Linked DNA regions of Alligator mississippiensis. The protein of the gene in region 3 interacts with the protein of the main gene of each other region in a pairwise test. Links are inferred from orthologs where the notes say so. Each region holds a gene or a part of one and is shown on either strand. Other genes may lie near its edges.

Region 1 (7,500 bases), on a different chromosome or scaffold from region 3:
AGAGTTGCAATGGAGATGAACGGTTTGGAAAGTGTCAACAGAATATTATTTAAAGATGTAGGTAAGCAATATAAAATTGCGTGAAAGAACTAAGTTTGCAAGGTCTAGGAGAAGGTCATGAAGTGTGAACAAAGAGGAGGTGGAAGTAAATTGACACACATGAAAGACAGAGAAAGTTAAGACATTTTTTGGATAATGACAAAAGGCTGTAATAGTGTCACCGGTTCATAGGAGCTAAATTATTAGAGAACACTCAAAGGCTTCCACTATTTCACAGGGAAATTACCTGTGCCCTGACCAGACTGGCAAGAATCTTTGATACAAATCAAACTAGAAACCAGGATAGATTATAAACATTGTTGAAATCTCCCCCAGGACAAAATAATTAAAAAAAAAATAAGAATCTTTAGTGAGCACTCAGAAAAGTGCATTATTTTGCATTGTTGAATTAGATAACATAGCAGTGGCAGCACTCAAAAGTGCCCTCCAAAAACACAAGGCAACGTAGATGAAAGCTGTTCCAAACAAATTTTAGGAAGGGATCTCAGACTGGAAATCAAATTTAAGGATAAGGACACATTACTAATATGCACATTCAAGTCCAACTATTATGTTTATTGTAATTGATAACTGGGATGTTTGCAGGGTGATGGGGATTTTTACATGTGCTGTGGTACGCAGAGCTGGGCACTTTAATTAGCGAGCTGTGCTAATTAAAAGCCCCTGCATGACACATGTATCAGCTGTACAGCATGTCCCTGCACTGAGAAAATGGCAGCAGGGTGCTTTGAATTAAAGCACATCAAACACATTTTATTTTGGAGTACCACTGCCATTTTCTCAGCATGGAGACGTGTTGCACCACTGATACACGTGACGCAGAAGGCTGCCAGAGCGCATCAATTTCTGGGCTCCAGCAGACTTGATTAATTGAGTCTGCTCAATTGAGTGTGCTCTGATGCAATTGCCAGCTCAGCCAAGTCTGCTCTCTACACGTGTGTAAGTGCCCATAGTTTCTAAAGTAGATAATCTAAGAAACAGATGTTTTTAAGTAAATTACATGGTCACAATACACAAGCTAATTGGTACCTATCACAATTTCAGGGCTAATGATATATCATCATTGTAACATTAGAAGATTTTTTTGTTTTTCCATTGAGCCATCCGCTACTACTGCTCCAAAATCAGGTCACTGTTGAGTAATTAATTTACAGGGATGTAGGTATGTTGGTGCACTGAATCATAACATGTTTAGGCTTAAAATCTTAATAAGAAACTAAGGACCCACTTTATGGTACTCTATAGCTCAAAACCATCTTATCTACTACACCAATAGAATATTAGATTTCAAATGAAAATCAAAATGAGAAAAGGCAGACATTAAAATACAGGTACCTAGGAAAAGTATAAGCAGAACTGGACTTTCATTCTCTAGCTGAGAGGTTTCAAAGGGAGGTAAAAGTGCAGGCTTCAGAGCAGTGATTCTCAGCCAGGGTGCCAAAACACTTTGGGGTGCTTTGAGATCTTTTCAAGGGCAGCCTCTGGATGCCACATAATGTTAGCATAGTTAGGGCTGCAAACATGATTCACAAGATAAAACCAGAGATTTCAAATAGAAATTCATAGCTGTGCTCGTTTTGAGTTCTTTGCAACAGAAAACCTACTTTATTATTGTTCTGAAGTTAAAAAAAAATCCAAAAACTGAGCTGACATTTTACATGGGGTGTCTCAAGTCTAAAAAGGATGATAACCACTGCTCTAGAGCAACCTTTTTGGATCATGTCTCTTTAGGCTCTGGGTCAAAGCCCATTGACACTACTGGAAACTCCTACACACTATACAGGGCAGAAACGGCAGCAGGTCTCATTAACAGTCAAGTCCTGACCAGATGGGCTTATTGATATACATGATGAATTTCAAAGTTAAAATTCCAGATTGCAATTATTTGATAAGAAATAACTCCTGAAGGAAACAAATCGGATGAAACAAACCTTGATACCTTGTGGGCCTTTGTATCTAGTTCACATTAAATATGTTACGATCAGTCAGATCCTGCCCTTAACTCAATCAATGGCAACTGACCTCCATGAGAGTTGCATCATGCCCTGTGTTACTGCTTAAAAGGAGAACCAGAGTTTGTTTTCATTAATGAGGCCTCCATGATGCCTCAGGGGTATATCTTCAGTGAGTGAGGGATCAAAATCTGATAAAGCATGTGGGTCAAATCCTGAAACCTCCAAGATCACAGATCTCCCAGTGTACAAATCAGAGTTGTGCCTGTCTAAGTACTTCAAGCTTTGATCATAAATTTTCAATTTAAGTATATTTATTTTAAACAATTCAGTATCTATAAAATGTGCGCAAAAGCAGAACAATCCATACCATTAATATCTGATGCAGCTTATTTGACTTAGGCAGGAATATTTTAAGAGAGTCTTTCATATTTTACAGATGAAGAGTGAATATTTCTTGTATGTTCAGTGCCTTCCCATCAGCTGTCTAAATACCACACTTAAATTATTTTGCCTAATATAGTCTCGAAGCTGAGAGGATGCATGTATGTATGTATGTATCGCATGTAAAAAAAGGGGGGCAGAAACAGACGCTATAAAAGTAGCATTGTGGTACGTCACACGCTAGGTTCTATGTTAGCAGCAATAACACAAATAGCCATAACTGTAAGCAACTGAGCAAACATAAATTGATAGGTACTGTACCTGTGAATTACAGAGCCATAAACACAGCTTGAGCAATTTTGCAACAGTAAATCACTACAGTAATCAGGAGAGAGAAACCGGTGGGGGGGAGGTTCATATTGCAATATCTTAAGAAAACTACTTACCAAATTAATGCATCTGGAAGTCTTTCAAATGACCACTTGATTCCAGAAGTGATGTGACACTGTACCATGAAGTCTACAGCCTGGGAATGAGGTGCGACATATTGCCAACATAAGAGAGTTATTTTCTTGACTGACCTGACAAGGTACAAGCCTCTGTATTACTATTTTCTTAATGTTCCCTCATAGCTAGTCTCTAGTCAAACTAAATTTTGCTCCAGTTCTTTCTCAGTGTTTCCCCACCCAACTTTATACAAATTCTTATAAAGGTTATGTACAGACTTGTACAAAATTGAGACTGACATTGGCCCTTGGAGAATTTCCCAGAGCAAGTTTAGCAGAGATTATATAACAAGGTAAGTCTGTGTTCCTTTTATATGCATAGAGTTTATTACACTACTTGTTTATTCCTTCTAACCTAACCTCCAGCCACCTTCCTAAGTAACTCTCCTGCCCAAACAACTCAATGACAAATTACATTTTTAAGAGATTAAAGACAAAACGATATTGCTTGAAGCACTGTGTTCTCATACCTAGCACACTATAGGACAAGGATGTCAACATATTTAAATCAAGCCTCTACAAAACATAATGACCATTGATTTCCTTTCAGGTGCACTATAAATGAGGTGGTAAAAAGTATCTGGATGTGCTAACCCAAAATGAAAACATAGTTCTATATATTTTCTCTAGCAAACATGGTAACGACATCAAGGCTCTACATTTTTACTCTGCTTTTCAACAAGAGATCTTGAGTTACCATATAAAGCTAGGGGAAAACTGAGTCTCTGAGAGGTAAAGTAACTTTATCAAGGAGATAAGAGTCACTAATAGTCCAGAAGCAGCCCAGATTGCCCAACTCTCAAACCTGTTCCTACCGTGTAGCAGGATATGGCAATTCTGTAGAGAAAGCAAAATAGCTTAGAAGAAACTGATGTCATCTTATTCTTTCAGAGAAATCTCATCTGGAAGGGAAGGAAACATGCCCATACGTGGCTATTTTGTTTTTATCCAATGATTTTAAAATCATGAGTAATTATGTTAGAAAATGTTTCCAGTAGCTTACAGTGCCAACAGGAACCCTAATTTCAATTATTTTCTTTATATGTGGATATATCTGAACACACACAAAAAAATCAGGTGGTTGAAAAAAGCTGTCTAAAGCAAGTCAAGGCAGACAGAAATGATGTTCACATAAAGTGGAAAACCCTTTGAGGAACTTGTCAAGGGCCCCACCTGTGACCAATAGCAGATTGTTATGATGGAAATGCCTTGCTGCACCTGAACACGTACTTTTCTTATAGTGGTAAGAAAACACATTTGGCCTCAGCCTTATTAAGAGACTTTACTCACTCCTCTCAGATGAGAACTCAGCTGCAATGAGCCAGACTTTCATCTCCAGACTGAATTATTGCATTGCATTTCTAAAGGGGCTGAGTACAATTGCTACAAAAAGCCTGAAGTTAAGGCAGTTCATAAACTGTGTTTCATTCCAAAAGCCAACCTGGTGCATCATACTCATGCTTCAAACTCTGAGCAGAGTTCAGAAATCTGGTCATCCTGATCTGCAGGGTATTTACTAGACCTGGACCTAGTGACTTCAGGTGCTGCCTTATGTTCTGTGGGCACATACAGGTGGCAAATTTAAATCAACCTAAACCAAGGCTAGTTCAATCCAAGTGCCTGACCTTAACTGAGTTATTTTAGCTCCCCCACCAAGCAACCCACCCTACAGCCTCCCCAATCCTGCCAACCTTCCCCTTGATACCCCCCCATCTCTCTCCCCCACTCCAAATTACTTATACCCATTGCCCTGTGCTGTTCCCAGAAGCAGCGAATGCCTGCATGCGCCACTCCCAGTCTACATATAGGCAGTTTAAAACAAGTGGCATGAACATAAATCAGATGCAGTAAACAGTAGTACTCACCCTATGATTCCTCCAGATGAGCAAACTACACAGGGATGATGCAGAGAAACAGGCATTAGAAAGAGACTGTTCTCAACAGTAGGACCAGGAAAGATCAGACTGAGCCTCCTATTGACAGGTATCATGCATTTTAAGGTATAAAGCAAAACCTTCTCCAAACTCCTCTTACCATTGGTGATGCATAGCAAGTGCACGTGCACCCCCTGAGTGTGGTGGTGCACCCCCTGCAAAAAGGTGCCACCAACACTGTTGGTGGCACCTGCGGGTAGTCACCACTCATCACCCCCCCCGCCCCCCCGCCACTGACACCACTGGTGGTCTGCGTGTGATTGCTGACCACTGGTTGGTGCTCACCCCCCGCCCCCAGTTGTGTGGCTGCCTGCAGGAGCTCCTCGCTTACCGCCACCTGTGGGAGCTCGCTGTGCGCCCCAGCCTCTGGGGGCACATGGCATTCATGCTTCTTACGCATCAAAAAACACATTTCCAATAAAAATCCTGCATACAGAGTCAGGCCTCTGTCCTAGAGAAACAAATGTGACAAAAAACACTTTTATCTGAGTTTTTATGCACTTGTATTTTGGATGATGCTAAGATGCCACAGGGAGAGGTGCTACAGTATATAACAAGAGAGGGGCTTTTTTTGTTTTAGTCTCCAACCATTTTTAAGAGTCCTCTAAAAAAAAGTGTGTAAAATCAGATGATTAAAAAAAATGCCTACAAGATTTATGAGCATAAGTTCCTTTGGCACTTAATGATCTTGAAAGTAAGAACTATAAAGAGCATGAAGTAGTACCGTACAAGCTTTTCCCCATGAGAAACTTTCGCAAAAGACCTCCAAAATGATTTAAAATAACCAACATTCTACAGTCCTGGAGTTTTCTTAATCAAAGAGAGCCATTTATGCTGAATTGTTCTATAGTTTTAAATGTAGATCATTCTTCATGCTTAGGTAGCACTTTCATTTAAGGGTCCAAAGCCATTTCACAATAAAATTAAGATTTGGGGCTTCAGGGGCACCTAGTGAGATTAAGCACCAGTTCAACAATTGGATGATCAATTCCTTCAGGTCTCTGAAATTCTACCCTATCTGCTTAAATCTTACAAGCAAGGAAAGTATTAACCCTGTTTTACAAATTGGCACACTGAGGCACAGGACAGTTACACACCTTGCCCAAAGCCACATTATGAGTAGAGTTAGGAACAGACTCTAGGCAATCCAAATCAAAGGGCCCCATTTTTGACATGGAGAAAGGGCTAAGGTGCATGACCCTATTTGCAAGTGTGAACCTTTTTTTTGAACAAAACTCTTAAGTTACAGATCATGGAAATATCCAAAACAATGCACTATTGTTATTCACCTTAATGCTTTCAGACGTTCCGAGAAAACACAGTATTTTTCCCTTCACCATGATGAACAAACTACTGACAATTTGAAGAACAAACTATACTTAAAAAAATAAAAATCATTTTCTTGTCAAATGAGCATTTTGTTGTCAGGGAAATGTTCTGTGAAAAAAATTCATTAAAATTCCTTTGAACTTACAACATCCTCTGAGAGATTCATCCCCAAGGAAATTCAGGCAGTGTTTCCACTGTTTCCTTTCCTTCCAAAGTTATGCTAAGGCAGGCTCAGAATTCACTGGGGCTATCCACATAAGTGTAATTACCAGGTGCAGCAATGAGCATGTACACAATCAAATGCATCCTAAGCTGCCCTGACCACAACCCTTTTTTAGCAAGCAACAGTCCATTTTAGGGAGTGTGCAGGCACCTGCAATGGAAAGATTGTGATCATGGATTTTTTTTGCTGCTGGGGAAACAGTCCAAGATTTGTTGAGAAGCCTGTATCAGCTTGTGCAATTTAGCTCCCCAAACCAGAAAGAACAGAGAATATAAAATGTATTGTATGTCATTTTATACTTGCCTGGTAATCCAGCCGCGATAGGGTTAATATGAAAGAAACAGAATTCCACTTTGGAAAGACAAAATATGACAGTTTCTCAGTTAGGGCCCAGTTGACCACTTCATCACTAGTTTATGGCAGTAAAAACCCTGTTATTCATTGATATCAGTGCAGGTACACCAGCATCAAACTGTTCTAAGGCACTGATGTACCCTGCCTCCAATGCCAGCAGGTAGCAAGATACTGACCATTTTTGGGGGTATCAAGAACTCTTCCAACTTGGGTCTCCTATCTTTAACCCTCCCCTTTTATGTCTAAATCAGTAAGTGTTTAATATGAGAGTAATCCTGATTCCTGTTTGTTTTTCTACTGTTCTCCCCTGCTCCCCCTTGCCCTAGTTTTTTTTAAATCAATTCCTCTTTTTCATTTGAATTCTTCCCTTCCCATTACCTACAAGACAGGGAGTTGAAAATTTTGCCCCATATGAGTTAAACTTGGAAAAAGGAAAACTCCATCAGCTACATCTTCTTTTAATTTTCTCTGGGAAGTGCAGGAAGGGGCCTAACAAAGCTGTATGCAGGCAATTGTGTTATCAAGGCACTTGGCACTACCAACTGATTCTTGATTACTATTCATTCCTCAGGAAAATAAAACACCCTTTTGTAGTAAAAGTGTAACCGGTTACTAAGATGCCTTACATATCAACAAAAGTTGCTTTTTACAAAATTGCATAGGATAAAAGAATGAGAGTGGAATGAGTCTGAGGTAACCAGTTGGTCTTACTCTTTTAAATGGAAAGCAGAGAGTTGAAACATGTCTTCTCCAGTCTG
Region 2 (7,365 bases), on a different chromosome or scaffold from region 3:
TAAACAAGTTATGAAATAACCCAGGTTTGTGTAACTGGTCCGATTGTGTAATGCCTTCCATAGAAGCCATGAATTTAGTCTGTGCAGGCAAATAAGCCTTTCTGAGGTAATTTCCTAGGAAACTGAAGAGAAAAAGGCCCATTAAAAAAAAAAAAAAAAAAAAAAAAAATCACCAGCCTTTTAGTTTTGTGTATTCACGTAGCCTCAACAGGAAATATCCTCCATTCTTCAGTTTCCAATATTATTCCAGATCAGCAGCTTACCAAAAGACAAAAATGTTAACTAAATCACATGAGCCTTGGAAAAATAAGAACTTGTATTCCTGATGGTCAAAGAGAGCCGGAAAACTGATCAACAATAAATACCAACCAACATTCAGCCAGCTGGGGAATGTCCAAATAGCAGGAGAAAGCAAAACTATCACTCCCTGGGCACTCTGAACCTCTGGCTGAAGCACAAATGCATTCCATCCTCACAGACAGACACGGCCCTTTGGGTAGATGCAATCTCCTTTATTAGACCAGCTAAAGAGTTGCAAAAATTGTTCTTTGCAAGCTTTTGGGCACAAACACCCTTCAACCGACAATCCTCAGACAGGCACTATTAAAAAAAAAAGGTGGGGGGGGGGGAAAGAGAGCATTTTGAACCGAGTTTCTTTAGCGGCCTTGAAAAAAATAAATCAAATAAAGACTACTTTGAGAGATGCCATTTCCATTTCAACTCAACTGCACTAAAGCATCTGGAAACCAAGTCTCCCAGCACCTAACCCAGTAACACAGATGTGAAGAACCTCAGGCTGATGTAGTTCAGCTCAGGAAAGAGCCAGCCTGAGAGAGAGAGAAGGAAGAAGGGTCCAAACTGAAACAAAAGTAGAGGAGAGAAAAAAAAAATAAAGCAAGAGAGGAAGAGATTCACAGATATTTTTTGTTGCTGTTATTTTTAGTGGCATTACCTGGCAGATTCCTCGGCTTTGAAAGACAGCTGTAAAACTGCTGAAAGGGACCGCATAAGGAGGCAAGGTTGCCTTAATGTAGCATACTATTAGGAATTGCAAAATCTGCCAGTGTGTTGCAGCTCACTGAGAATTAGCCAACACTTGTGCTCTGCTTCATCAGTGGCCCTGCTCTACCTATGGGTGGGTGGATTGCTTTAAAAACTCATTCTTTCTTCCTTTCAGGGTTTTAAAATAACTTTCCACTAAAGATCCCATGAAGTCATAGGCATTTTCTTCACCAGAGGTATAAAAAGCCCCAGCTACAACTGCAACCCCCCCCCCCCCCCCCCCAACCACTTACATGCTTTCTGAATTTCCATAATAAAAATGAGGAGCAGGAGGCCCTCTGCTGTAGCTAGCTAGGTACCCGAATTTCTGCCAAGTATCAGGTCAGGGATTGCTATTAACAAACTGAATTATCCAAGCAGGACATAGAAAAGGCTACTGTTTTCCAAGGGAAATTCCTCAAGCAAGGGAGCACATGCTCTCAGACAATTCCCACCCTACTGTTGAAAGCAGCACTTTCCACAGAGATCTCCTCCTTTATCTCCAAGGGTTTGAAGCCACCCTAACCCGCATGGAGGTGATTATAGTGGTCAACTCTTGGCTAAAAAATGAAGGACCATCTCTGCCCTCTCTACTCAGAGAAGTTGCCTGTGGAGGTCAGGACCAGAAATAATTTCTCATGCCCAGCCTCCCATCAAGGTTTGGAGACGTTGCATGGCATTTGGAGGGGGGTAAATGTAAACACTTGTATCAACTCATTTGGGTCTCCGGTGAGGTTGGACAGACAGGTCTGACAGCTTCGGGGGGTCCCTTCACCTCCTAAAAAAGTCAATCAATCAGGGGCTCTCACTTTCCAACTTTATATCTCACTCAGTCCTTCTGGTTTGGCCCCAGTACCTTACTTCCTTAGCCCAGCTCGCACATGCGTGCCCTGCCTTCCACTTGGCCACACGTCTGCCCCCTTCCAGGCACGGCACTTTGGGCAAGGACTAAAACGTCGGTACACGAGTCAAAAAGAAATAAAACAAATAAATAAATAAAACCAAGCTGGTTGAGCGAAGAGAGCACGAGCCGGGACAGCTTCTGGCACCCGAAATCTTCCCCGGCGGTGGCCAGGCAGCAAGAGAAGAATTGCCCCAAGCAGGCCAGAGGCAGCCGGGCAGTGTTGGGACTGGCCCGCTGCTTCCCATTCCTCGCCACGTCGGTGCCCAGCCGCTTGCGGGCCAGTTTCAGTCCCCGGGAGAAGAGCCACTGCGGCGGGAGCCCCCTCCCCGAGCCCCCGGGAGCGGAGCCCGGCCCCTCACACTCACGCGCGGCTGCTTCAAGCCCAAGCTCACTCCAGCAGGGGCCAGCAGAGCCCAGGGGGAGCGAGCCACCTAGTCCCCGGGCTGCTCCTGCGGCCCAAGCAGGGAGAGGCCGGATCCGGCGCGCCTGGGTGTGGCGCCGGACTTCGCTCCCTGCCCCGCCGGGGCCGGGCGGGGAGAGGGCGCCCCCCTACCTGCTGCGCGGCGCCGCCGGAGTAAGGCTCGGGGTGTCCCGGAGAGCCCGTGCTGCCCCGCGAGGACGTGTCGAAGCTCCCGGGATAGTCCTGGTACATGTCCGCTGCCCGGGGCGCTCCAAGGGCTCGGCCCGGGCCGGGCGGGGGCCGCGGCTGTGCCTGCGAGTGTGCGCGTACGTCCCTGGGGTCTGCGCCTGAGTGTACCTGTGTGTGGGTGGGTGTGTGCGAGTGTGTGCCTCTATGAGTGTATGAGTGTGCGCCTCTGTGTGTGTGCTTACGAGTGTATGAGTATGTGTGTGTGTCTATGAGTGTGTGTGTGAGTGTGAGTGCCTGTACCTGAGTTGAGTGCGTGTGAGCGTGCCCCGTGTGCGCGGCGGTACCTGCGGGCGCGCGTGTGCCTGTGGCTCTGCCTGTGTCCGTGTCCTTGAGTGTCTGGGCGCGAGGGGGGGCCAGTCCCACCCCCCGAGCCCGCGCGCCTCCCCGCTCCGCCCGGGGCGCTCGCTAGCTCCCGGCGCCCCCGCTCCGCCCCGCCCCGCCAACAACTCCGCCGCCGCCGCCGCTCCCGCGCTCAACCGGCCGCACGGCTGCCGGGGCGGAGCCGCCCCCCACTCACACGCAACGCCCGGGCCGGGCACGACTTCCCCGCCACGCGCCCCCCCGCCATGTGCGGCCGCGCGTCACCACCCTCCGGCCCCGCCACCTGCGCGGGGGGTGGAGCAGCCCCCAGCCGGGAGGCACCACGCCCGAGGGGGGGAGGTGGCAGCAGGAACCGCCCCCGCCTGCTCAGTGTGGTGCCTCCCCCCACACTCCGATTGGTCCGTTCTATTGGCGTGTGTTGCCAAAAATGGGCATGTGCGTGCGACTACGCGAGCGCGGGTTTCCTTGGTTCGGATGACGCGTTCCAGGAGGGATTCCCTGGCTGCGCGGCTCAGCTACCGGCGCTTAAAGGGGCAGCGCCGCGTCGTGGGGGAGGTGCAGGGACCGGGCTCCTTCCGTCTCTCCGCTGCCGCCCCCCTGCCCTGACTCCACCGAGACCGCCCCCCCGACCCTGTGAAGGTGGCCGAGCGGGCAGCCACTTCACGGGAGTCACCAGATAAACCCGTGGGCTCCCCGCAGGAACCACGTGTGGCGTCCTCCAGCCGTGCTCTCGGCCAGGGTCCGTTCCTCCAGGCCCCCTGAAGAGCTGGCAGGCCAGGGGAAATGTGGTCTCTCTTACTGGACCAGAGGGGAAATTTTTATTTCCTTGAGGAAATTGTTCTTTGCAAGCTTTGGGGCATCCGGGGTGCGTCTACACATTCATTAAGGGCACATCTTGGCATGCACATTTACTGCGCAGTAACTGCAATTGCCACCCTACATGTGCAACCCTGTACTGTGCAGTAGCTATGGTGACTTACACCAACTTGAATGTAAATTTGATACCTGCATCATACAGGTATCAAATTTACACTCAATTAGTTACCACACAGTAAGGCACGTGTAGACACCTTACTGCACAGTAATACTCCGTGTGTGGACTGACTTGGGACTAACTTTAATCCTACAGAGAGTTATTGTACTTCAATGCCTGCACATGTAGACACCGGTCTATTCCCGCTTACTGTACAGTAACATACTGCACAGTAAATTTAAGATACATGTGTAGACACGCCCTACTGCTCCTTAGATACTGTGCATTTAGTTTAGTATGTCCTTAATAAAGCACCAACTAAACGCGCAGTACCTAGAGTTACTGCACAGTAGCACCAGCACATGGTGATTTAGTGATGCTTACTGAGTGTTAGCTTAATAACACTGTGCAGTAGTCTATTAGCATGATTTTTGCTGTGACACGCTACTGTGTTACTAAGCCAATACACAGTAAGCGTCTTGTGTAGACGTGTCCAGGGAGTCTTCTGCTGTTTGCCTTTTCTCCTGGGTCGAAATGGAAGCTTAAGCCAAGATGCAAAATGCAGGTCTGTGAAAACACAGATGCATGGCAGGGAGGATCGGAGGCAATAGGGGTGCAAACACTTATGCCAGATTCGCCAGACAAACCCAGAGTTTTCTACTATGAACCCACAGTGTCACAACTGTTCTGCCCTGCGGCCATCCGCTACTGCCCTGATTCTCAACCCCACCCCCCTTCCCCTCCCCAACACTCGGAAAGTCGTCAGGCGACACTGGTGCTGTGGGGTGGGCAAACACGTGGGGGTCACCAGATAAACCTAGAGATTTCCCACAGGAACCCAGTGTGTCGTACCTGTTCTGCCCTGCTGTGGTTCCCCCCTGCCATGACTCTCAGCCAGGGGTGTCCCCTCCTTTGAGATCCTCCTAAGGGTGGCAGGTGAGACAAGTGCTGTGAAGGGTGCAGAGGCTTGCCAGACAAACCCAAGGATTTTCAATGGGAATTCTGTGTCACACCCCTTCTGCCCTGCTGTGGTTCCCTACTGCCATGACTCTTAACCAGGGGTCCCCCACTCCCTGAGATCCTCTTAAACGCAGCAGGCAAGATGAGTACTGCGCAGCGTATACACACTGGCTGTGTCTACATGAGACGCTTACTGCGCAGTAGCTCGTTACTACTGTGCAGTAGTGTCACATGGCACAAACCGTTATGTGACACTACTATGCAGTAGTAATGAGCTACTACACAGTCAGCATCACCAGGAAGCTGTGTTGGGACGCTACTGAGCAGTAGCTCCACTTACTGAGCAGTCATTTAATACTTGGGCATGCAAGTACTAAATGACTGCATTTAGTACTTGGGCATGCAAGTACTAAATGACTGTGCAGTAACAGCTGTGCAGTCAGCATCTTGTGTAGACATGGCCACTTACATGGGATTCACCAGATAAACCTGGCGTGCATCCCCTGCCATGCATTTGCATTTTCACAGACCTGCATTTTGCATATTGGCTTAAGGTTCCCTTTGACCCTAGAGAGTAGACAAACACCAGCAGACTCTCCCTATGCCTGAGGAAGGGCACCTGTGCCCAAAAGCTTGCAACGGACAATTCTTCCAACTATAAAATATATCACATTTACTCAAAGGACCTTGTTTGCCTTTGTCCTTAGACCAACACCCAAATAAACCTGGAGATTTCCACTGGGAAATCCAGTGTATCATGCCTGTTCTGCCCTGCAATGCTGCTTCTAAGCTCCTGGCAGCAGACATGGTGCTTTATTACAGCGTTTCTTTTTCCTGTCATTAAAAAGGAGTGAAATTAGTTTTTCAAATAGGGTGCTGCTACGTTCAGGAAAGTTATGGAGGGGCACCGTGAGTCTAACGTGGTTGAGAACCAGTGATCTGCACAGTGATTCTCAGCCAAGGTGCCTGGAGATCCTTTCATGGGATGCCAGAGGGTGCCATGCAATGTCAGCACTGTAAGGAATGCAAGCGTGATTTCCAAGATAAACCTAGAGATTTTAAATAGGAATCTGTAGCATGAAAAGCATTCTGCTCTGCTGTGGGCTTGCTGAGCTCTTTGCCACAGAAGAATTGCTCAAGTATTTTTCTGCACTCAAAAACCAAGTGAAAATTTAAGAGTTGGCATTTTCTGAGGTGCTTCTTGGGTCTAGAAAGGTTGACAACCGCTGCTCTACACTCTGGGTTGCCCATCTGCAAAAGGGATGTCACAAATCCTATCACCCAGAGCTGGAGTATTTTTTTAAATTAATTTTTGCAAAGCACTTTGATCTGAAAGGTGGAGCATGTATGTTATTTACAGACCTCTGTCTCAAGGTGTGTTAGCAGCACTGCTTGAACACACTTTATTGCATGCCAGCAATTACCATGTTCCCCTAGGTGGAACAACAGCCACTTACTATTTGTCAGTCTCTGCCAGTGCAGGTCATCAGAGCACATGGGGCTGAATAGGAACCTGCAAATCAGCGTTTCCCTTCACAGCTTTAGTAGTAAATATAGAAAAACTTGTGACCCTATTATCTTTAGATATGACTAAATCCCACAGTTTCCTGCATGTGACATTGAGTGCTTTGGTTTCTGAAATGGAAGAACTTTTTTCCTAAAGGTTTCTAAACAACTAGCCATTGAAGCCTCTAGGAAGTGGTAAATGGGTGGAAACTGGAAAAAAAGATTATGTGACATTAAACATCAGTGAAAGATGTCAGAATTGATAGGCCAAAGGGCTTCCCAGCCCAGCCCCTCCTTCAGCCTCTTTAGCATACTGCTGCTGCTAAAATCATCTCCTACTGCTGCTGCTGCTCCACCGTCTCAGTGCAAATTCTCTTTTCAGGTCCTCCACAGTTCGCTTCTGTGTGTGTATCTCACCTTCCTTGCCTTCCTCAGCTCTGTTGGGCTGCATACCCTGCTCAAACCTTTTTTCTTTGAATGCTGCCCATGTTTCCTTCTACTCTCAATTTTGTGGTTTCTTTCACCCTACTCTGTGCATTTGAAAGCAGTCTCCTCCTTGTGTCACAAGTTTTCTCCCTTGTTCTTCCAAGTCTCTGTTTGAGAAATAATAAACCTTTCTTCCTTCCCCTCACAAAACCAGTGATGCTCTGGTGATGCTGGGTATGCATAGTTAGGGTCCCTCTTGTTTTTAACTCTTCTGCCTCCTCCTACAAATTTGTCTGCTTGTGCACTTTAGTACGTAGGCATTGTTTTCCCTATCATATTTATTGGAATCACACTGCAAAACCCTCAGAAACCAGGTCTTACTTTACATTTAGAATTAAACATGGACACTGTGAAGTTGTGTATACATGACTTGTAATAATAATGTTATGTGTGTATCCACAGAATGTGTACAGAATAGTACACTCTTTCCATGATAAGCATTTACCCTGTTCTAGGGCAATTACCTATAATGAAGAGGCTAAACCTACACTATAGCCTTCTGCTGGCACACCTATGTTGCTCAGG
Region 3 (7,687 bases):
CACAGCATTCCCTGACAAACAGTTCAGTTTTACCCCATCCCACAGCTGTCCTGACATCATGACTTTAAACAACTGTGACATGTTCTTGGGAACTTAAGTGCCTACAATATCTCACCCCAGAAGTAGCTGCAATTGTGAATAAACTGTAATATAATTTTGAAACCTTTCAAATGAAAACTGTTGCTTATGTCTACTCTGTTTTTTCAAGGGCAATACTTGCAAAATGAAAATGCACCCTAAACAGTTTAATTTGCATTAAGCCCATCATTGCTCAGTAACAAAACCTTTCTTTCCATCCACTTTAAATACTGCTTTCCATCCTTTCTTTTCATCTGCTTTAAAAACACTACCAATGAATTGTTGAAACAGTAATTAAGTAATTATATTCTAAACTAAATACTTTATACTTTGGACTTATCTTTCAAATAGAACAGTATTTGGGGTAATGGTGCATGTATATATATGTTAACAAGTGAAATATTTAGTTATTTATTATGGCAGGACACATTTTTGTATTATTCAAGCAGTAAAAATAGGGTGTCAGAAAGGCAAACAGGTTGGCACTCAAAGGCCCTGTACAGAAACAAAGCATTTTCTTTTTGAGTCATCCAAGCCTTAAGTGCTAAAATCCTGCACTAAGATGCTGAGTGATTATTTCTGAGCCACACTAGCAGGTAGGGGCACTTAACTCCAGTCAGGATATAAAAAAGATGAGGGTGTTTCTTTGAGCAAGAGGAAACTGGAAAATGGGTAGAGAGGTGCTATCAAAATGCACAGGCCTAGGGAGGAAACTTAGGCTGAGGGTGATGTTGTATTATTAATAAGCCAAACTCCAGGAAGAGAGAGAGTTAGATACTGAATCCAAGGGCTGTGTACTAAGATAGCATAGGAACACAGCAGGTTCACAATACAATAGTCAATCATCTTACCAGATGATTCGAAAGATACACTGCCAAGCATTGTAAGAATATTCATTATCAGAGTCATTGGAGTGCTGAGTTGCATTAGTCAGGGTGAATAATAGTTTAGGTTCCATCTGAGATGCAGCACAGACTTTAAGTGTAGGTACTCCAGTTCTGCAAACTAGGCATTTGTAGTCTGAGCAGTTCAGTTGGTTTACTTGAATAAAAATTACACACATCCTTAAGTCTTTGCAGGTTTGGGACCAGGGATAGTACTTTTATATTTGGCATGGTGCTGATCAGATTTGTGCTTTAAAACTCATCAACAACAACAAACAAGTATTTAGCAAGTATTTTCTTGAAACAATGGCAGTGGAAATGCAGTCATAGAGACTTGCCTAATGTCACACAGGTTATAGCAGGAGGGGAACCTGATTCCCAGTCCTTCTCCTTCAGCCAGAGAAAGGACCATACACAGAGCCCATGGCAGGCCAGGGGGGTTGTTTGCATGTTATTTATAAAGGAGGGAAGGCGATGAGCTTAAAAAAAAAAACTTATCCTGTCTAGTATCCCTTTAAGTGTGTATGTGTGTGTGAGACAGAGACTGTATTTTTTTCCCGTTGATTATATTTGTGTCTCAGCCCTGTTCAATCTTGTTGACTAGATTTCAGACTGGTTATAAGGAAAAACTTCTTCAAGGTTCACGCGACCAGATTCTGGAATAGACTCCCACGGGGGTGGTGCAGGCACCTACCCCTGGAGATATTCAAAAGGAGACTGGACACACATCTTGCTGGGGTTATTTGACCCCAGCAGTCTTTCCCACCCAGAGCAGGGGGGCTGGACCCAATGATCTCATGAGGTCCCTTCCAGCCCTAAACTTCTGTGAATCTGTGACTATACAGATTCATAGAAAATGAGGGATGGAAGGGGCTTCAGGAGGTCATCTAGTGCAACCCCCTGCCCAAAGCAGGACCATCCCCAACTAGATCATCCCAGCCAAGGCTTTGTCTAGCTGGGTCTTAAAAACCTCGAAGGATGGATTTTTCCTGCCTGGTGCAGGGGGCTGGACCTGACGATCTTCTGAGGTCTCTTCCAGCCCCTTACAATCTATGAACTTCTATTGCTGGAATGAAGAACACTAGGAGTGAAGCTGTGCTGTAAACCCTTTTGTAGGAGAACTCCCCCCCCCCAACTCCCGTGGTATATAAGATAGACCCGAAATCCCCCTAGCGAGTCCTCCACCCCACAGCGGTGGGCTGTCCCGATCTGGAGTTGCAGCTCAGCTGAGCAAAGAGATCGCTATGAAACACGAGGGACTTGCAATGCGCTAGGAAGTTCAGTCCTGGATTCGTCTGGGCCTATCACGCCGCACAGTGTAACCCCCCTGGACTTGAGTGCAGACCCCCACACCCGACCCAAGTCAGGACACAGCCCCGCAATTTCCAATCTCGGCCCCGTGCCTCTTGACACTCTTCCCTGCTTCCTCCCGAAATCCATGAAGCAGGAGATTTTTTCCAAGCTGACTCACACTTCTAATGTCAGTCCTGTCACTTCCAGCGCTGCAAGCTGTTGCTTGTGCTGTTGCTGCCTTTGCACTGTCCGCCGCCCCCCTCATCCACCCCTTGTACCGGAGCTGACTGCCGGGGGGCGGGGCCCGCAGAGAGCCCGCCCCCGGCCCCGCCCCCGCGCCGCTCCCCCAGGAGCAGGGACCGCAATGATTTAGAAGTTCAGGAATCCCACGTGACGTCACGGAGGGTGATGTAATGCTTCTCTAAATAGAACGTATTGTAACCTTCTCTCAGTCCAACGTGGTTCCTTCACCCAGGCTGCTGGTCCCTTCCCTTCTACACTTGTTTGGTAAGTTCCTAAAAATACTGATCTCCCTTTCTGAAACTCCCTTTACATTGCCTTTCAGCCCGCACTTCCTGAGCGCCCCAAAGTACTTGTTTGCCTGGGATTCGCTTTTCCAAGCAGCGTGTGTGTGAATGAACTGGGGGACGGAGGGGGACCAGGCGGTAAAGTGTGTGTGTGTGGGAGGGCAATCTTATTTAATTCTCCTATTAATGGCCATTTCTTGCTATTCCGGCCGGGACTGCTCCGGACACTGGGGCGATCGGCTCTGAGTTTTGTTTTGAATTTCACTTTAATAATAGTTACTAAACCCATTGGAGGTCCCCCACCCCCGCTTCCCTTTCTCGCTCCTTTTCAGCAGGCTGGAGCAGTGAGATGCTTCTGCGAGGATGGCTGTTGTAGGGGTGCGGGGAGGGCTGGGGTTCACCTCCTCCCAGGATAAAGGGGGGACTGTTACGGATCGAGGTGTGCGGTTCGGGTTGGGGTTTGGGGGGCGGCAGAAAAAGTTGTACGTAGAAATGCAGGCAGCAGCTGGCGAGCGAGAGGGGGAGCTGGGAGTCTCCAGCCTCACACGCCGAGCACGAAGTTGGGAAGTTTTTGCAACTCGGCGTGTGTCTTTTTAAAAGCCAGAGCTGGAGACAGTCATTAGTATGCGGCCGGGAGCGTGTGAGTGCGCCCGTGTGTGTGCCCGAGCCCCGCGGAGATGTGACTGCCTTTGCCACAGCCACTCGCGTAGGTGAATGCTGCTCCCAATAAGTTGCAGGTCTCTTGCTTGAGCTTTCTCCGGATCGGGGTTTTTCTTTTCTCCCCCCTCCCCCCCTTCCCCCTTACTAGCACAGAGAACTGGAAAGCTCTCCCCCCCTTGCATTTCTTTCTGGCATCGCATCTTTCTTGCTCTTGCTGCTGAAATGACAGCTCTTTGGCTGGGGATCTGCTCTGCAAGCCCCTCTTTCGCGTTCCTCCTACATGGTCTTGATTTCAAGCGCTGGAACTTGTCTTCAGCGCAGAAAAGTTTTCCAAGAGGCTCCTTCAGTCCACAGCGGCGGGGCTCAGCAGCGCAAAAGTTGCTCTTGCGTGTTTGTAGTGGACCCCCTCCCCCCCCCCCCTTTTTTTTTTCTCCCTCTTTTTTTTTCTTGCGATCCTGCACAACAAACTGATCCGATCTCCACCCCCTCTTCCCTTCCCCGGCTCCAATCCCCACATGGTGTCTATTGTTAAGGACTCGGGCTGGAGTGGGCTGTGTGTATGTTTCGTTGTTAGGTGTCTGCATCGCTATGTTTGGTTGTCTTCCCCCCCTCCCTCTGACATATCTCTGGGAATAAGGCTGGATCCTGGGCCATTACGTCATTCTGCAGACTAGTAAGTGTTTGATTAACAGCCTCAGATACTGTAGGGTTCAGGGGGTTAGAAATGCTGACAAAGCAACTCTCTCTTTTACAACCTCGCTCGCTAAACACATCTCTAACTACGTCCCCTTCCCCAGCTTAATGCCATTTCCTCTACCCCTTCTCTCTTTTTAGGGTCCTTTCTCCCTCCCTGTAGCTAAGTTTCCTAGAATGATGAGAGCTGCTGGAGTGTAAAGAGGGCTAGTTGCTAAACTCTGCCTTCACTTATTATTTATGTCGAGGCATGATGAGTGAGTCTTCATCTCCAGGGTTTAATACGTGCTTTACAATTGGAAAGAGAGAACTGGTTCAAAGTAATCAAGTCCATGAATGTCCATGTGTGTGGGTCTTAACATGGAACATGCTCCTAAGAGCACTCTTGCTTCAAATAGCATGACCAGATGATTTCTGTATCTTCCAGGTGAGAAATAATACACAGATAAATTAATCTCGAGCTTGAACCAAAGGATAATATATACTGAGGAGCACCTTTCTTGGGCTGTCCCTGAGATGGCACAGTTCAAAGACAACTCTGGTAGTGATCTAGTGAATTGCACCAGAGTTTCCTTGTCTGGCCATTTGAACAATGTCCAGTGTGTCAAATAGCTGTAGAGGAAAAACTTTCTTCTAAGAAACTGTCATGCTGAAATAATCCAGAAACCAGACTGTGAAGAAAATTAATGTATAAAAGAATTTAAGAGCTGTAGGGTGAGAACCAAATGAAAAAGAAAGAAAAAAGTATCTTGCAGCCCACTTTGTGGGAATTTTGCTGAAGTGGATGCATAAATACACACTGGTAGCGTATTGCTTTCTTTCGTTCTTTGGTAGAAAAATGTACATTATTAAAAGCCCCCTTTGGTATTTTGTTACTTTCATATTTTGGATAAAGTTATCAGCATTAAGAAGTTAAAAATATTTAGAAAAAATTCTTAAAGTTCTTATTTGTGACTCCTTAATCCTAATGGGAGCTGTGCAGGTCGCAAAGCGCTAGAGAAAAGTGTGATTAATGATCAGTGATTAGTGATAAGTGATTAGTGGTTTTATTCAAACTGTTACCTCTGACCAGAAGCACGCATCAGAGGATTAACAGGCTCTTTAGATAAATGCTCATTAGTGGAAGGGGGAAAGCAAAGATAATAGGCATGCACACAGGGACAACTTTGGAGGAAAATCATTCCTGTCTCTGGAATAATAAGCATTATTAGCAGAAAGGCTCTTTAGTTTAAAAGTTGCTTTTATCTTGTAAATCAAAGTTAGATGTAGACGTTCACTGTGCTATTATAACCTAAATTTTCCCATATCCACTGGATGTGGATTATCCCAGTAGTGATATTTATTTAAACAAACAATTGAATCTTTAAAGAAACTGAACATTCACAAAATCTAAAGCCTTGTATCTTAAGGTATCCACTTCTTACATAGCAAGTGAAGCTTGCTGACAGCTAACTAGATGGCGCAGTACTGTTCTTTGTGAATATATAGTTCTGGATTATGAACTGAGCAAGTAGCTGCTTGCTAGATGTCCTTCAACACTTACAACAAAGTTGATTCTGTGCTAGGTTGCAGGCTAGACAGTCCTACAAGTTTTTAGTCACATTTTCCATGTCAGTTAATCTAGTGAGTTAAAGGCTACTGGAAAATGTACTCTCATTACTAAAAGAAACGGTTACAGAAAGAAAGTGAGAGAACGGCAAATAGTACAACCTGGGATTTAGCTCTTTACTTCGCTGTTCTAGTTATCATAAAACACCAGACCTTGTTTCTATAGAGTTTAGTAAAATAAGATTCTGATGGCCTGAAATACAAAAATATAGAAATACACAGCGAAGCTTTCTACTCTTAGCTGCCACTAGCAAAGGGAGTGTTAAAATTAGATACATTTGAAAGAAAGTTGACGTGATGGTTGAACAAAACAGCTCTGACCTGATTTTATTGAACAGATAATGGTAAGAGGTCTTTTATTTTTTTCTTTTGACTGACTAAGGATCTCTAATTATTCTATTTTTATCATGTTTGGATTGTATAGCATTACTATCTATTGCTGTCCATAATATTTGTCATGTTTCTACTGTCTTGATTACATAAGAATGATCTACAGTTGTTTGAAGATGTCCAGAACACCGTACTTTCAAAACCTAAATGTTTTGTATATACATTTACAGCGGAATAAAACCTTATTGCACTAACAAAACTGAAATTGTCTCCTGTTTTTGTAATTTTAATTGGGATAGTCTTATGAGGAGTCAGATAACATTTTATGGAAAGACGAGATTTCTTTATATTCCTGACTTAAGTTTAGAAGGACAGTAAGCTCTATCTTGAACTACTTAATATTGGATACTCCTATTCTAGAATGTAAACAGATGTACTCCTAAATATCTTACTCCTAAATAACTTACATTAAAAAATAAATTGACTATATTTAGGAGCTGCTCCTAGGCCAAGGAAACCAAATTAATAATGTGAATTGTATTTACTGAAACCCAAATTTGTCTCGTGGGGCCTTAGGAGTGGGATGGGTGGTGGTTAGAAAGTAGATCTCACTGCTTAGTTTAGTCCAGGAGTGAAGGAAGGAAAGAAAAAACAGTCTTTGAGTTGAGAAAGTAAAATGGGAAAGAGTTATGTCCGTAATCTTGGTTACCATTTGTTAGAACTCCGCGCATGAATAATGGGAGCAAGTTCTGGCCCTCTATGTTTAATTTAAATGCTCATTTGGTTAGTTCACTTGAGAAAGGAATCTCAGATATCCTGAAATTGCCTAAAATTGTTCTGTTCACTTCAGAGGGGTCTTTTGGCACTTTTTGTGAGAGTTAGGGTTCATTCCTACGGTGATGGAAAAGAGGCAGTGTTGCATAGCCCTGAGATAACACTTTAGGTCAAATGCTTTTGTTTAACTCAGGCAAAACCCTTTTTGACAAAGGTGAATTCTATGGAAGGATTTGGCCCTTATCTGTTAACCTGTATATTTTTAGCCATTTTAAAAATTTCCTTCTGGGACTTCAGTCAAGTTACATAGATATACGTTCAAGTATTTAGAGAAGTATTGTTGTCATGTTGTACTCCAATTCTAAAATACAGTCTCTTTAATCAAGGACCTTTGCTCACAATTCTCTCTCTTTCCAGCTCTGAGTTCTCTATCCTTCTAGCAAGCAACATGTTGAATTTATTGCAGACTTGTTGGTTAAAAAAACACTCCTCTTATGGATTAGCCCTCTTTAAATGTAAGCTTAAATACACTCAAATTAATTTTGACATAACTTTTTCAATAATGACCCCCCCCCCCCCAAATTCCTCTTTTTAAAATAAATGTTTAGGTGGTGTGGACCATATCACATTTCATATTCCCAAATTTGATCAAATGGGAATTTTCCTGAGGTAAGGCCTACAGAATTTGGCTTTAACAATTTATTTCTCTACATGCATCCTCTGTCTTGGTAGAAAGGCTCACTTTAGTCTCACTAAGAAGAAAAAGCAACAAGTCTTTCAGTTCCACTTCAGTTCTATTTTTGTTTTATCGACTAAATGAATTCGTGTTTAGCTGACTCG
Region 4 (7,571 bases), on a different chromosome or scaffold from region 3:
CCACGCCCCTAGTCCTATCCAAATCCCTGGGACGCCCCTGCCCATCTCGGTTCTCCCGCCTGGCTTCTCCCCCCAGACTCGCCCCGTGCCCCCGGCGGCGGCGGTAAGTGGAAGCTCCCGCAGACGCCGCCGGCGCTGTCTTTTTGTACGGGGTGCACCGCCACGCTCGCGGTGCCCCCTGCTGGGTTTCCTCTGCCCCGGGCTCCGGCCCTTCTGGCCACGTGGGTTAGATGCCCCCCCTCAACATCCCAGGACACCTGATTTCCCCCCACCCCCACCCAATCCCGGACGCCCGGGTGCCGTGCCCAGCACAGCCTCGGACACCGGGTGCGCCCCCAGCCCCAGGCCCGGACACCTGGGTTCTCTCCGTGCCCTCGAGTGGGGGGAGGCGGTCTCACCTGCTGCAGCGACTCTGTGAGCTCCTTGCGCCGGTTCCGGCACTTGGCGGCCGCCAACTTGTTCCTCTCCCGCCGCAGCCGGCGCCGCTCCTCGTCCTCGGGGTTCAGCTGGGGGGGGGGGCGGGGGTGAGTGCGGCCGGGGGGCTGCAGCGGGGCCCGCTGGAACAGGCCGCGGCCGGGGGGGGGAAGCCCCCTGGCCCAGGGCCCCATTCTCCCTGACTCACCCCCCCTGACTCAGCCCCGAGTCATTTCCTCCCCGAGCCCCCCCGGGCCGCGAACCCAGGCGTCCTGGCCCCAAGCCAACCTGGGTGACTCCTCTGGCAAAGCGGGGCGGGCGCCTGGGTTCCCTCCACCCCCCAAGCCCTGTCCCATGTCTCGCCCGGGACCCCCCAGCCTCAGAGTGGGGGAAACTGGGAATCCAGGCGTCCGGGCTCCCAGCCCCCCTTCCCCTCCCGGAGCTGGAGAGAACCCAGGCGTCCGGGACTCACCTGCTGGCTGGGCCGGCAGGGGGGGCCGGGCGCAGGGCCCCGGATGATGCCGGGGCGGGGGTAGGGGGGCAGGGAGGGGCCGGGCAGGCCGCAGGGAGCGCCCGCGGGCGGCGGCGGCAGCAGCAGCCGGGGCTGCACCAGCCACTGCAGGGCCTGGCTGGAGGTCACTGCGTCCACGCTGGGCACGAAGCCGGAGCCCCTCTGGCAGGGGGGGTACTTCTGCAGAGAGACGGGGGTCAGCGTTTGGAGAATCACGCCCTTCGCGGGTAGTACGGGTGCCCGGACACATGGATGCGGGCTGCGGGGCCGCCCCCAGCTACCAGAGAGCAGCAGCACCCAAAGGAAAATCCCTGCCCCCTCAGGCAGTATAGGGACTAGGACACGTGGATAGGAGGCTGTAGTCTCACCCCCAAGTGCCAGGGGACAGCACCCAGAGGGAAATCCCCGTGGGCAGTAAAGGGGCTAGGACACACGGATTCGGGCTGCCAGCCGCGGGGGTCTGTGTGTGGCGGGGTTGCGGGGCGACACACAACTAAAAGAATCCCCCTAGGCAGTACAGTGACTAGGACTCGTGGATAGGAGGCTGCAGACCCGCTCCCAGGTGCCAGCAGCAGCAGCCATGGGGACTCCCCCCCACCAGGGCAGTACTGTGTCCAGGATGCTGCCCAGGTGCCAGTGGGCATAATCCAGAGGGGAATCCCCATGGGCAGTAGAGCGGCTAGGACATATGTCTGCGGGCTGCCAGAAGCTAAAGAAGAATCCCCCCAGGCAGTACAGGGACTCATGGATAGGAGGCTGCATACCCAATCCCAAGGTGCCTGGGGGAAGCAGCAGGCATGGGGAATCCTCGCCTCCAGGGCAGTACAGGGTCCAGGACACATGGATGGGCGTAAGGAGCTGCGAGGGGGGCTCCACGACCCAGCGGGAAGGCGGGGGCAGGGCACCCGGACCCCTTCCCCCATCTGTGCCTCAGTTTACCTCCCTGCTCCCCAGAAGCAGGGCACGGGGCGAGTGCCACTGCCCTGGCAGAGCTGGAGGGAACCAGGCGGCCGGGTTCTGCCCCGTGCCCCGCCTGCCCCCGCTGCCCCACCCGGCGTGACTCAGGCCCCTGGCACTCGGGGCCCCGCCCTGACCCACTTCCCAGGCCAGGCCCCGCCCCCTGCATTCAGGCCCCGCCTCCTGCCGGGGAGGCCACGAAACTGCAGCGTCATGGCCCCCTCACCTGCCCGCGGGGCGGGCGCTGGAGCCCGGACGCGGCTTCTTTCCCTGGACTAGGATGGCTACGGGGGCACCCGAACGCCGGGGGTCTGTGCAGCCCGGGGAGGGGGCCGGGCGCCTGGGCTCTCGGGCTGGGGAGCCGGGTGGCACCCGGACGCCTGAGTCCCTGCCAGGGCAAGAGGAAGCCTGGGGGGCCGTGACTCAGCGCCGTGACTCAGCACCACCGGTCCGGGGATCCGAGGGGGATCCCCTAGCTCCTGCCCGCCCCGGCACGCAGGGCAGAGAACCCGGGCGTCCGAGGTCGCCCCCAGTCCCCCCAGAGCTGTGCTGGAGCCCGGGGTCCCGGGTTCAGCTCCACCGGGAGCCCAGGCGTCCGGGCTCTCATCACCGTCCCCAGTCCCGCCGCAGACTCAGGAGATAACGCGGGAGTCCCGTCCCCCCCCATCCTCGCAGGTCCTCCCGCGGCCCCTGCCGGCCGCTCCCGGCGCTGCAGCGCTGTGTCCATAGCCCTGTACTGCAGCCCTGGGAGAGTCCCCAGCGGACCCCTCTTCTGAATCCTGCGGGCCCCGCTCCCCTTTCGGAGCTGGGGGGAAGCCTGGCGTCCGGCTCCCAGCACCCTCTGGGCTCACTCCCCTCAGAGCTAGAGGGGACCCAGGAGTCTGGGCTTTCTCAAGTCCCCTTGCTCTCGATCCCCAGGCACCGTCCCCGAGCGGGGGGGACCCAGGCGTCCCGGCTCTCAGCCCGCGCCCCAGAGCTAGAGGGAACCCAGGTGTCCCGCTCTCACACCCCAGGCCCCTTCCCTGCAGGAGCTGGAGAGGACCCAGGCGTGTGGCTCCCGGCCCCGCTTTCCCCGGTACCTGGTGGAGGCCGGGGGGCCCCGATCCCGGCGCCGGGGCCCGGTCCATGCCGCTGCGCTCTGTGCCACTCGCGCGGCCCGCCCTTTTTTATGAATGGGAACTCCGCGGCCACGTCACTGCCCTGCCCCGCCCCGCTCGGCGGGGATTCCCCCCGTCCTGCCTCGGGGACTCCTAGTAAGGCCACCCCCCGCCCGCACCTGTCGGCCTCACCTCTACCCCAGCCCTGTGCCGTGTGCCCGCCCCAGCCCAGGGAGCCCGGGGCGTGGCCGCGTGTGACGTAGATGTCCCTATATGGTCGGGTTTCCTCCGGTGGGGCGGGTTTCCCCCGCCACGTGCTGCGGCCAGGTAAACAGGGAGACAGGCAAAGAGAACACACGTGGGTCCGACACACGTGGGTCCCGCGCGCGCGCCTGTCCCGGATGCCGGTGCTCCCTGTGTGGGATTGTGAGCGCGGCTCTGTCCTGGGCGCCTGGGCTCCGTGTCCACGTCTCGTGGGGTCCGTGTCTCGCTCCGCGTCTCCCGGGCGCCGACCCTGGGTGCCACGTGCCTGCATGCCCCGCACGGGGTGCTGGGAGCCCGCACGCCTGGGAGGGGAGGGGGGGTGGGGGGCAGGCCCGGGGCCGCGATGAGTAAAGGCGGGAGGAAGGAAGGTGAGTCAGCCGAGAAGTATCCAGGCGCGACCCCCACAGCGGTGCCCCGCACTCACGACCCGCAGCCCCCTACCCCCCAGGCCTGCCGGTGCCCCTCACTCCCGACCTGCAGCTCCCCCACTCATAGCGGTGCCCCTCACTCCCGACCCGCAGCCCTGGGGGCGAGGGGAGGGAGAGTGGCTAGGGTCCAGCTGGCGCTGCCCCCCATTCCTGTCCCGTGAGTCACTGAGCTCGCTCCCGTGTGTCACATCCTGGCCTGGCCTCGGAGCCCGGGATCCTGACCCCTCCGCGTGCCAGGACGTGAGCCCCGCAAGGAGCCCGGACGCCTGGGTTCTTTCCGCCCTCTGGTCCTGCCCTGGCCAGGCACTTGTACTTTTGATTTCTCTGGCCAGGCACTTGTACTTTTGATTTCTCTCCTTCTGCACAGAGAACCCCGGCGTCCGGGCTCCCGGCCTCGCTGCTCTACCCCCACCCCGGGGCTGCGGGGCACCATCAAGGCTGGCGGGGGGCAGGGGGGCGGAGAGGCAGGGGGCTGCGGGTCGGGAGTGCGGAGCACCCCTGTGGGGGACGCGCCCGGATACTTATCGGCTGATTCACCTTCTTCCTTCCTCCCGTCTTTACTCATCGCAGCCCCGGGGCCTGGTCCCGCCCCCCCGGGAGGGAGCCCAGGCGTCCGGGCTCCTCCCCACCGTGCTCCCTTCAGGCTTTCCTCCCTCTGCAGAGCTGCAGACAACCCAGGCGCCCGGGACACACACACCTGTTGGGGGGGGCGGGGCCCCCGCGTGCCCGCTCTTGCCTCCACCCTGGCTCTGACGTCGGCGCCGGGAGTTATGACGCAGGCCCGGGAGCACCCGGCCCCCTTGCCCCCCTAGGGCATTAGGGCATCCCCAGCCGTCCCCCACCCCCATTGCTCTGATGGTGGGGGGGTGGGCTCTGGGGTCCATATGCGGGGGTTCAGGACACCTGGGTCCCGCGTGTGTGCTGCGGGGGGGAGTGGAGTCTTTGCAGGGCCCCGGGCCCGCAGAGGGTGTGTGTGTGTGTGTGAGAGAGAGTGAGAGAGAGTGCCAACACGGCTACGTGCAGTCACACAACACCACACGCCTCACCAGAGCCTCACCACATGCACACAGATGCCTGGACACATCAGGTGGCCTGGACACACAATACAGAACTCACCACAACCACACAGCCCGGTACACCACACCGCACACCTCACCACACAGCTACACAACACTACACAACTCACCATAACCACATGGCCCGGCGCACAGTGCAGCTACACAATTACACGACACTGTACAAGTCACCACGATCACAGGACCTAGGTCGCAAAACTGTTAACCAACTCCACAAGGCTGCACAGCTCAGCAGAATCCCACAGCCACGCTACACAACTACATACCAGGACAGACGGCTGCCCAAGCGCACGGCCCTGCTACACAGCACACAGTACACCACACAGTTACTTGGTGACACACAACCACACCACACTAAACAACTCACCACAACCACACGACTACATAAGCTATAGACACAACCACACAACACACCACAACCGGCCAGGCCTGCCCGGAGCAGGGGCTGGATGGGGGAAAGCAGAACCACGCAGTGGCACCACACTACAGGGCCAACAACTCCCGGCTGCACAACCGCACAGCACGGCTACACAACCGAGCTAGTGGGGTTGGCGGGGAGTGGAATGGACACACGCTGCCTGGCCACACAATTATGCAAGACAGTGCACCCCACAACTACACAACCCAGAGCTGGCCTGGCATCTTCAGCTGCCGGAGAGGGGAGGGTGACACAGCCCGGTACACAACACACAGCTACACACTGCCCTGTCGGTGTCCCGCACTCCCGACCCGCAGCCCCGCAGGCACACACGGGGCGGGCACCGGCAGCAGCTAGGGCCCAGGCGGCAGCGGAGCCGGATCGGGCCCAGACACACGAGTTCACACCCGGCCGGGGCGGGAAAATGAACATCAGGAGGGGGCTGAGAGGGGGGCTGCGGTCGGGAGTGAGGAACACCAGGCCGTGGGAGTGAGCCCCCCCCGCCACAGGCCGCCGCCCGCCACCCCCCCCCCCATCGCAGCCTCCCCGGATCTCGCACCTCCGCCCGCAGCCCTGCGCCTTCCTGGGGGCCGGAGCCAGCGCCGCCCCCCGGGGCCTTCTTCCTCCCGGCAGCGGGCACAGAGCAGCCATGGGCCCCGCCGCGCTGCGTGCAACCGTCCTGCTGCTGCTGGGCCTGCGGGTGTCGGCCACAGCCCCCCCGGAGACCGCCGAGCCCCGCCTGGTATCGGGGGCTGCGGGCCGGGAGTGAAGGGCACGGGCAGGGCTGGGGGGAGGCAGGGGCTGCGGGTCGGCAGTGCGCGCCACCACTAACCCCTCGTCCCCCAGTCGCAGGCGGAGCTGACCCAGATGTTCGAGGACTTCGTGATTCGCTTCAACAAGACCTACGGCAGCCCCGAAGGTGCCCGGGGTGGCGGGGAGGGGGGGGAGATCTGGGCTGGGGGGGCAGGTGGAGGCCAGGCCTGGGGTGAAGGGCGCATGTTGATATGAGGGGTGGATCTGGCAGGGGCAGGTGGGGGGGGTGAGGTGTGGGCTGGGGGATGGGCGAGGGCCACGTGGCAGGCGACCCCAGGCGGGGGCCCGGGCCACGTGGGGGGCCCGGGGCTGGAGGGTCCCCGGGGTCGCTAACCCCCCCACGCCCCCAGAGCGGCGCCGGCGCCTCGGGATCTTCGCCCGGGCCATGGAGGACGCGCGGCGGCTGCAGGAGGCGGCGGGAGACGCCGCCCGCTTCGGGCCCACCCGCTTCAGCGACCGCACGGGTGAGCCCCGCGTCTCACGTGCAGGCTGCCACCCTATGAAGCCCCAACCCCCGCCCTCAAGCTACGCCCCAACCAGCTTGGCCCCGCCCCAAGCCTCAGGCCCCGCCCCCACAATCCAGGCCCCGCCTACAGCCACAAGGCTCCTCCTAGAACAACCAAGCCCAGAGCTCTGACCCCGCCCCCGCCCTTCAAGTCCATGGTCTCGAGAGACCCCCAACCCAGGCTCCGCCTTGACCCCATAGCCCCGCCCCTGCCTACTTTACCCCCCATAGCCCCCTTCCTGCCCCTGCTTACATCTCTCCTGCAGAGGAAGAGTTCAGGGGGGCGCCTTGGACCCCTCTGGACAGCAGACCCCCCAGGCCCCCCCTGCAGGTCCCCCCTCGGAAGTCAGTGCCTCCCAGCTGTGATTGGAGGAAGGCCAGAGCCGTGACACCCCCAGGTGACCAGGTAAGGGGGGGAAGGACCTCCAATGAGCCCCTGCTGGTGCCCCGCACTCCCCACATATAGCCCCCTGCCCCCCAGCCTTGCTGGTGCCCTTTACTCCTGACCCGCAGCCCCCTGTTCCCCCTGGTGCCTCTTAGTCTTGACCTGCAGCCCCTGCCCCCCCAGCACTGCTGCTGCCCCTCACTCCCTGCCCTCCACACCCCCCAATCTCTTCCGACTGGTCTCCCATCTATACCTACTTAGCGCAGGACAGGGAAGCCCTGGTCTCATCTGCCCCCACCCTTAATCTACCCCCTCCATTTGCTCCGCAGGGGGACAGGTGCCGTGCCTGCTGGGCCTTTGCTTCTGTTGCTAATGTGGAGTCACTTTGGTTTATCCACTTCAAGAAGCTCTACAAGCTCTCCGTCCAAGGTGGGGGAGGGGGGTCTTGGGCTGAGGGTTGAGAGTGAGGTGCACCAACAGGGCTGGGGGTGCAGGTTGGGAGTGAGGGGCACTGGGAGGGCTGGGGGGCAGAGGCTGTGGGTCAGAGTTAGGGGCATCCTTGGGGCTGGGGGGGCAGGGGCTGCAGGTTGGGAATGAAGGGCAGTGGCAGGGCTGGGGGCTGCAGGTCAGAGTGAGGGGCAGCAAGAGGGCTGTGCATCAGGAGTGAGGGGCACCGGTAGCTTGGGGCTGTCCTCATGTGTCC

What was found.
Region 1: the proteins of CREB5 (region 3) and SPRY1 interact in binary tests that used the Homo sapiens proteins (3 or more experiments, as listed by UniProt). The two-hybrid records come from large-scale screens. The link is inferred for Alligator mississippiensis from reciprocal best matches to the Homo sapiens genes CREB5 and SPRY1.
Region 2: the proteins of CREB5 (region 3) and FOSL2 interact in binary tests that used the Homo sapiens proteins (3 or more experiments, as listed by UniProt). The two-hybrid records come from large-scale screens. The link is inferred for Alligator mississippiensis from reciprocal best matches to the Homo sapiens genes CREB5 and FOSL2.
Region 4: the proteins of CREB5 (region 3) and FOSL1 interact in binary tests that used the Homo sapiens proteins (3 or more experiments, as listed by UniProt). The two-hybrid records come from large-scale screens. The link is inferred for Alligator mississippiensis from reciprocal best matches to the Homo sapiens genes CREB5 and FOSL1.

Annotation. Positions count from the first base shown.
Region 1 is NC_081825.1:115,751,834-115,759,333, reverse strand, and holds the start of SPRY1 (protein sprouty homolog 1), read right to left. Parts: upstream 3,018-7,500; 5' UTR 2,911-3,017; coding exon 2,843-2,910; intron 1-2,842. UniProt on the Homo sapiens protein: Inhibits fibroblast growth factor (FGF)-induced retinal lens fiber differentiation, probably by inhibiting FGF-mediated phosphorylation of ERK1/2. Inhibits TGFB-induced epithelial-to-mesenchymal transition in lens epithelial cells.
Region 2 is NC_081824.1:175,842,929-175,850,293, reverse strand, and holds the start of FOSL2 (fos-related antigen 2), read right to left. Parts: upstream 3,010-7,365; 5' UTR 2,598-3,009; coding exon 2,499-2,597; intron 1,210-2,498; exon of another isoform or gene 953-1,209; intron 1-952.
Region 3 is NC_081828.1:155,044,198-155,051,884, reverse strand, and holds the start of CREB5 (cyclic AMP-responsive element-binding protein 5), read left to right. Parts: upstream 1-4,669; 5' UTR 4,670-6,084; coding exon 6,085-6,087; intron 6,088-7,687. UniProt on the Homo sapiens protein: Binds to the cAMP response element and activates transcription.
Region 4 is NC_081838.1:5,393,035-5,400,605, reverse strand, and holds the start of FOSL1 (fos-related antigen 1), read right to left. Parts: upstream 3,010-7,571; coding exon 2,962-3,009; intron 1,349-2,961; coding exon 887-1,348; intron 507-886; coding exon 399-506; intron 1-398. Other genes in the region: cathepsin W-like, read left to right, coding at 5,815-5,907, 6,012-6,084, 6,329-6,442, 6,750-6,889, 7,198-7,297.